2 linked regions of the Oryzias latipes genome follow. The protein of the gene in region 1 purifies or fractionates together with the protein of each later gene. This does not show direct contact. Links are inferred from orthologs where the notes say so. Each region holds a gene or a part of one and is shown on either strand. Other genes may lie near its edges.

Region 1 (3,822 bases):
CACCAGCCGCCGCCGAACACAAAATCCCTCGACGGCTGCGTCGCAAATGAACACGATTCATAATTAAAACGCAGTATTCTTTGTTAACAAATAACAGTGACAACTATCTACTATTTAGCCAATGAACTAACTATATAGGTGTTGTAGAATGTGTATGTGTGTCAGCACGCTGCGGGACTGCGATGGGCTTTAGCCAAATGTTGCAGCATGGGGTCTCTCCCTCCACGTCTGTGGCAGCAAACCCATACCAGTTCCAAACAACAGATGATTTTATTCCTGTCTTGGGATCAAACTTCCCACTCTCACTGGTAGCCATGCTGTGGCTTGCTGTTTCGTCTGTGCTATGATGTTGTTGTTTGTCGCTTGCCATACTGCCGTGTGAAACAAACGCTACGGAAGCTCTGGGGAGCCAAAAATTCACCAAATTGAATACCTGCATTCGGGTTTGAATGACGCATTAATATTGCTGTATTAGTCTTGATGGCACCATCATTCTGTAGTGATTTTAAAGGTAAACCCCTTTGAAATTTTACATTTTCAGCTGTTTTTTTTAACCATTTGCAAGAAAGCAACAGTCATGTTTCTAACATCTATCATTCAAAATTAGTTAGTTGCTTGGACTTTATTTCATAAAACTAGTGACACAGTGGTAACTGTATTGCACACGTTCAGCTGAATGTCCTTAATCCTGAAATGCTTTGATAAGGACACCTTGAATTATAATCAGGAGTTTCCCACAACAGCAGTTCTTTGAAATACAATAGACATCATTTCTGTGCTTCAGATACCCAAAAGGGAAAAAAAAACACCTTTCTTTGTCTTTAAGAGTTCTGAATACATTCCTTCTATGTAAATCTTTTCTGAAGTTCCTCCAGGTATTTATTTAGTAACTTACTGGAAATGTGTGTTCAATTCCCCTTCGCTGCAGAGTTCATGATTGACCGGCCCGAACAGGAGTTCCAGGACCTGAACGAGAAGGCCCGAGCTCTGAAGCACATCCTTAGCAAAATCCCAGATGAGATCAACGACAGAGTACGCTTCCTACAAACTATCAAGTGAGTGCGAGCAGCAGAATGAAAGCTAAAGCAATCAACCCCCCACAATTCCCAGTCTCAGTGGTGATCTGCAGGAGAATCAGAGTGCATGCAGAACCAAATGGTTTTCTCTTTGGACTCCAAATTTGTATCAGTATTGAATAATCCATCTTTAAATTACAGGCACAAGCCTTAGAAAAAAAAACTTCATCTAAAAACACAATTTAATGAAATGTAGAGATTCTAGTGAGGCTTTGGGTCATTGAATCCTCTGGCTCTATTTTGAAAGGCTTTTGTTATATATTTCAAATATATAACAAATATTTGAAATACTTATATATTTCAAATATATATTATATATTTAAAATGTATACTAATACGCTATATAAATAAGACTTTTCTTCTGTAGAAGAAAAGTCGGAAGTGACTCTTATTTATTTTGGGTATTTTTTTTTTTTTATTATTTTTTTTTTGGGTATTGCAAGTTTTAATACTTTTTTTGTAATAACTTTCTGAATTTACATTAAACTCTTTTTTTCATGCCTTTTATATTTTTTTGGCTGCACGGTGGCGCAGTGGTTAGCGCTCTTGCCTCACAGCAAGAAGGCCCCCGGTTCGAGTCCTGGCAGGGGGACCTGAATTTTATAATAATTCACTCTCTAATCATCTTTCAAGGAAACAGTTAGGATATCATACTTTTCTTGGATGATCAAAGGTGGAAGCAAACGTTTAAGGCAAATCCAGGTCTTTCAACAAATTCATAAAAAAATAAAATAAAGGGGAATTTGACCTAATTTATGGCTTTATATTTTTTAATTGTTTGTTGGACAGATATAGTCGTTTAGGGAAATGCGTCATGGAGGTAAAAAAAGATTTGTTTTTGTGAAATTTATGAAATGCATTTAAATACTTCCTTTAAATGCGCTTTTTACTTTTCCTGTATTTAAATCTGTATTAACTGTAATTCACAGAGACATAGCCAGCGCCATCAAAGAGCTCCTGGATACGGTCAACAACGTCATTAAGAAATATCAGTACCAGAACCGCAGGGTAAGTCAGGAACCCCAGAAGACAGCCGGTCAACACAAAAGCTTCGTTTCTAAAGGTTTTTCTTCTCTTCAAGGCTCTGGAGAACCAGAAAAGGGAGTTTGTGAAATACTCCAAGAGTTTCAGCGACACCCTCAAAATATACTTCAAAGACGGAAAGTAAGTGTGAACTTAACACTGACAGACAAGTTCGGGTTATATATGACCCATTTCTTATCTCACAATGAGTCCATCCACGAGTTTGATTGTCAAGCCTTCAGATTTATGAATACACACGAATGTCGGATTACGTTTTAAAAATGGAAGATTTTTTTTAAATCAGGGATATATATTTTAAACAAAGTCTTCATATTTTTGATTTACTAGTTGTAACCTGAAAAAGAAGAGGGAAAAAAAGGACAGACTGTATGATACCATCCCCTGATAGCTCTCAGACTAATTCATTTATTCTTTTTCTGTTTATCACAATTATGATTGTTTCATGTTTGTAGTTTTGATGCTGACCTTTTGCAGCAGATTCACCCCCCGTATTTTTAATTTTTCGTTATTATACAATTATTATTTGTGATTTTACTTTATTACTTAATTTATTTTATTTCCCAACTAATGACTCATCCACGATGAAAGACTCGATTTGATGAAATCGTCCATCGTGATGACTGACTGACATCCCGATCGGTACAACCCTAATTCACTTCTTCAGAAACTACGGCAACAGAAGTTTGATTTTGAAGTGTTGTACTGTCACACTTCGGATTTCTTAGCCTCTAAATGGTTGATAACAGTCTGGAGGAGTTTGTTGGACTTGACCAGATGATGATCAGTGACTCCCCTCACCAGCTAGGTAAGACACGCCAGCTCGTTGCTTAAGAAGCTGGTTTCTCACAGAGTGCTGTCTCCTTCATGCAAAGTGGAGACGTTTTAGAAAGCTTAACAAGAGGCTGGCTAATTGTGGAATGGAAGAGCCACCTCAGGATGTAGGACATGGACTGCAACCATCACATTCTTTGGATTAGGTCAGAGGAAAGGACAGTTTGAAACATGAAGATCCCAGAGTCTGGAGAAAGAAGACAGAGTCCTCGTAGTTTAAGGTTGATTGTAGAGGTTCTTCACTTGCAGGTGGTTTGAGGAGCCATGCCATCTACACGATGTTGTAGAGTTCTTCATACCCCCTTCTACTGATTTTCTTTTTCCCCAGCTGAACCAAACCCTGGATTGGATATTGTTTAGCAAACTCAGCTGATCTAAATTTAACAGACAATCTGAGAAGTTTTGAAAAGAGGAAATGAGAGACGCCACACCCAACCACTGAGAAAACGCCTGGATCAGAGCAACCTGGACTTTAGCACATCCACAGACTGATTGTCTCGCTGCAAATCTGCTTTTCCACCTCATTCATCAAATCGAGTCTTTACTTTTTCTTAAATAACAATTTTTAGATACAAACATTTAGGTTTTTTGTTAGCATTAGGAAACACTAGAAATATCTTAATCTGTGAAAGAAATCTCTACAAGATTTAATAAAAAAGTGATAATGCACACTTTGAAGGCCATAGTCACTTACAAAAGAAATAAATCTTAACCAGTTTTTAGTCTTTAATTCTTGTTTTTGTCCCGATTTGGATTGCTTTTTTCACAAAAAGCGGACTATTTGTTACGTGGTGCGGCGCGTTGTCACGTAACCGTGACATAGTGCCACACCACCGCTGGAGTCGAGATTCTGTGATATATATATATATAT
Region 2 (4,448 bases), on another chromosome or scaffold:
GTCTAAAGTGGGAAAACATCTTTTCTCAGAGGTTTAAATAGTCCTTAATCTGATGTAATGTTAAGAAACACACATTTTTTAGGTAAGATTTTCAATTACCAATGTGCACCGAATTCAGAGAATGACCCGTCTAGCCCCTGATATCAATCATGTCCCAATATCCAACGGCATCGAAGGCCCACCCCAACGTAAAATGAGGCTGTACTCCGAAAGTGAAAATTCAGAATTGAAACTGTAAACCGAGGACTGAAGGTGAAGAGCAGGCGGCGACCCAGTGGGTCTTTAGAGACAGTCGGCGTCAGACTAACCTTCAGTGGGGTTGGCCGGCTGGTCCTTGTTGATAGCGGTCTGGATGTTGCTGAAGGACGCAGGGGGAGCAAATTGTTGCAAAACACCGATGGCGTTACAAAACTGATCTGCAAGCTGCCCACGCAAAAGCAGAACACACAGTTCAGACCGAGCTGAAGCCGACCTGCACCACACATCCCGAATAGATTCATTTTATGTTTGAAACACAGACAGAAAGGTCAAAACAATCAAGCTTGGATTATAACAAAGCACAGCAGGAAATTCTACTCATTGGAAATGAATGGATATTATATTAAACATTTCATTTTAAAAACATTTTTGGTATAATTGTCTTCCATTATTCTTTATCTGGCTGTATGCAAATATTTCAAGCATTTTCAGCAAGATTTTGGTTTTATTTAAGACGGTTAAAATCTTTCATAGAGAAAAGAGAATTATGAAGTAGTACACTTCTTGTAAGTTAGAATATTTTTAGGTTTTTGCTCCTTCTTCATGTAATCATATGTATTATGCCCTTCAGGCATTTATTTCGAAATGTCATGAAGATTAAGTGTAGGGGTTGGAGTGCCTGAAGTTCAATATTGTCATATGTTATATACATATGTATATCTTTAGTCCATATGCTAGTAAGAAATGTCATCCGGCTGACCTAAACAATAACAGAACGGTTGGCCTGTACCACCACACATCATGATTCCTATAATATTCCAGCTAAATGAGCAAACAAGCTGCTTAGTGCTTTCAGGAGTTTCCTGATAGAGCTACACTAAAGGATGGCTAGCATGCTAAGAACAAATGGGACTCTAACTTTGTTTGACAGCATATTTTGACCGGCAGGATTAGGATAAGTCTCAAAACGAACAATTTATAGGGTAACTTCCTGGTTTGGGTACCTTTTTAAATAATTTCCACTTCCTTTCATGCGTCTTCAACTTTAATTCCAATCTACTTCAGCATTTTGGCAAACAGCTTCAGCAAACACCAAGTAAGTAATGCTATTTATTAAGTTAGCATTAGCATTGTTAGCTGCTGTGATGTTACGCCCTCAGTAAATAAATTAGGAAACAACTTCCATTAAAACCTATATATAATGCACATTTCATATTTAAATGTATATGTGACAGTCTTTCTATATCACAATTTTTGTCAAATATTTAACATTTTTATTTTACCGAGTTGACAGCATCTTGTAGTTGCGTTAGCCGGTCCGCCATATTTACCTGTATTTGACAAAAGTCCGTCGTCAACTATCGCGAGAGCATTGACAAAATCTCGCAGAAATTGACGTCATTTCGGAAGACAAGATAGCTAAAGAAAGTTAGCCCGTCAACAACCTTAAACCTGTTATTTTAGACTTGAATACCATAGAGACTTTTGCGAAATTCATTTTTTGTACTTTAGTATATTTTTTTATGTCTTAAAGAAACAAAGTTTAAGTTTAACGTATAATCCGATATTCGTGTTAGCATAAGCATGATGTTGCTATTCTGAGCTACAACATAAAATATCAGGAAGAAGATCTATTTTCTGGTTGCACTTTGAACTCTTCAGGTAAGACCACTTCAGTGTTAAATTAAGACACCTTTACATGCTTTGGTACACTGTTTATGAGGTACGTTTGTATGTTTTGTTGGAAAATTTGTCAGGATTTAGAGAGCAGCTTCGTTAGTTGTAACTACTTTACTACTACGTAAGCAAAGACATAATTAGCTGTTTGTTTCTGCTTGCTTAATTTTTTTGTCATAAGAAAGTATATTTCATGATCATAAATCTCCTGCAGTTCGACATCCTCTTTTTTCCCCTTTTAAACTGTGACACATTCGTTAACATCCTGCTTTAGTGGGTGAGCAGGAGGGTCATACCCGGTAAAGTTACATTGTTTGGTGGTGGCAGTGTGATGGTATGGGGCAGCATCTCCTGCTCGTTATTACTGGAGGAAATCTTGATGTAGAAGTTATACATCGAATTCTGCTAAAATAAATATTTAGTGTGTTTTTAAACCTGAATTACCCAAACACGACATTGGCAAAATTAGATGCTTAGCAGCGAATGTTCAACCAGTCATGATGGGTGCATTTCATAAACGGAGCTACGTATTCCCTTAAACTCTAAACAAAGATTTAAGATAAGTATTGTAACTAAAAAGTAATCTGCTTAAAACCAATTTCCCTGCTTTTTGTACTGTTTACATCACTTTCTATCATTTAACTTTCCATCTTAAATCTGTAAGACGCTGAGTATCTTAACGCTAATGTGTAAGTAAATGAAAAATGCAGGGATCTACTACTCTTTACTTCCAGATGTTCATTACTCACCACAGTAATTAGGTTTTTATCTCACTAAAACTGAACAAACAGAAAGCAAAAGAGTAAAACAGTTTTATGAAGGAAATTGCCCAATTTGTTATATTACTTACAGACTTGAACTCGATGTTTTTTTTCTTCTTAAGTTTTCACATTTCTTTAAAACCAGATTGATATTTTCTAAAAAATGTCCTGCTCATCGATTTTACTTTAATGTTTTCCCCTTTAGACATGAACTGTACGTTAGAGAAAGTCCTGGCAGATGCTAAGTCCTTGGTAGAAAGGCTCCGTAACCATGACAACGTAGCCGAGATGTTAATCGAACAGACAACATCTCTCAACAAGAGGGTAGAAGCCATGAAACAGGTAAGATTCTGCTTGGATTTTGATGTTTTATTTTATTTTATTTTAAATATTTTCCTCATGAGCCGACTGACGTCCTGCCCAGGATGAACCGTGCCTCCGTCCAACAGCTGCAGGGATAGGCTCCAGCAACCCTGAGACCCCAAAAGGGATACAAGAAAATGGATGAATAGATTGATTTTCCTCCTGAAAGCAAAGTTAACTGTACTAAAGCTTTTTGACCACTGGGGGGCAGCATCCTTTTTAGAAAAGTGTGATGTAAATTTTCTCTTTTTTGTTTTATTTCTGCTGTGAGAAACTAGAGAGCTTAGTGCCTGATCAAATCATGAGTTAGATTGAAGGAAACATTTATTTTAAAGTCAATATATTAAACTAATATTGAAACAGAAAAACAAAAAAGTATTTCTTTCTCTGTTAAACCAGATGTGAAGTATCATTCTGTGTTTGCAGTACCAGGAGGAGATTGATGGACTAAACCAGGTCGCACGACATCGGCCTCGTTCCAGTCTGGTGTTAGGAATCCAGCAGGAGAACCGTCAGATCCGAGAGCTGCAGCAGGAAAACAAAGGTGGCTGTTTGTCCGTTGGTTTGTCGGGAAGTGTCTGTGGCTCAGAACCTTTTATTTGTTCTTCCACTTTACCTTGATAAAGCACCAAACCAGTGAGTGTTTGTCATGCAGAGCTACGAACATCTTTAGAGGAGCATCAGTCTGCGTTGGAACTCATCATGACCAAATACAGGGAGCAGGTTTTTAGGCTCCTCATGGCCAGCAAGAGGGACGACCCCACCATCGTCACCCAGCTGAAGGAGCAGCACACAACGGTGAGAGGAAGGAGCGCCCTGCTCCTTTGATGAAGCAGGTCAAAGGTTATCAGCAATATGCCCAAAAAAACAAAATCTCCCATTTTTTGGCACCAAATTTGATTCCTTATTTGAACCCAAAAGGACATAAATCCAACAAAAACCGTTTCATTTTAACGTCTCCTTAGGAAGATGGCCTAAATTTAGAAGGGCAACTAAATCCAAGCTGTGAAAATGTTTGTAGATCAGTGCGGCAGGTGTTTTGCCGTTAGCCTGAAGAGAAACATCTTCTCGCACTCGACAGCTTCAGGCGTTGAATGTTGTTAGCAACAGCCTTCAAACTGGTTTTGCACACATGGGGTTTGATGCCTGAAGTCCCAAAACTAAACCAGTTTCATAGACCTGAAGAAACGGTTTCTGTTTTGGGAACAAGCTAGTTAACATTTTAACGAGAAACGGGGGCAAAAGCTGAACTTTACCCCGGACAGCGGAAGCCAAAGTGAGCAGGATGCTGAGAAAATTCAGAATCCAGGTTTATTCCCCCCAAAAAAATCTTTTTAAACCCCAAATTTAAGGTAATACGTTTATTGCCCAGCCCTGATGTCGTGTGTTTGTTTGGATCAAATATTCGAGCTTTTTGAGTTTTCCTCATTTCTTCTCTGTGTTTGTAGG

What was found.
Region 2: the proteins of pdcd10 (region 1) and fgfr1op2 purify together in Homo sapiens (affinity purification with mass spectrometry; 3 studies listed by BioGRID and IntAct, counting the BioPlex papers as one, with this or other methods). This does not show direct contact. The link is inferred for Oryzias latipes from reciprocal best matches to the Homo sapiens genes PDCD10 and FGFR1OP2.

What each region holds. Positions count from the first base shown.
Region 1 is NC_019880.2:9,003,796-9,007,617, reverse strand, and holds part of pdcd10 (programmed cell death protein 10), read left to right. Parts: intron 1-928; coding exon 929-1,055; intron 1,056-2,005; coding exon 2,006-2,084; intron 2,085-2,157; coding exon 2,158-2,240; intron 2,241-3,822. UniProt on the Homo sapiens protein: Promotes cell proliferation. Modulates apoptotic pathways. Increases mitogen-activated protein kinase activity and STK26 activity. Important for cell migration, and for normal structure and assembly of the Golgi complex.
Region 2 is NC_019881.2:3,910,205-3,914,652, forward strand, and holds the start of fgfr1op2 (FGFR1 oncogene partner 2), read left to right. Parts: upstream 1-1,570; 5' UTR 1,571-1,860; intron 1,861-2,841; 5' UTR 2,842-2,843; coding exon 2,844-2,978; intron 2,979-3,425; coding exon 3,426-3,543; intron 3,544-3,654; coding exon 3,655-3,797; intron 3,798-4,447; coding exon 4,448-4,448. Other genes in the region: med21 (mediator of RNA polymerase II transcription subunit 21), read right to left, coding at 309-423, 1,482-1,523. UniProt on the Homo sapiens protein: May be involved in wound healing pathway.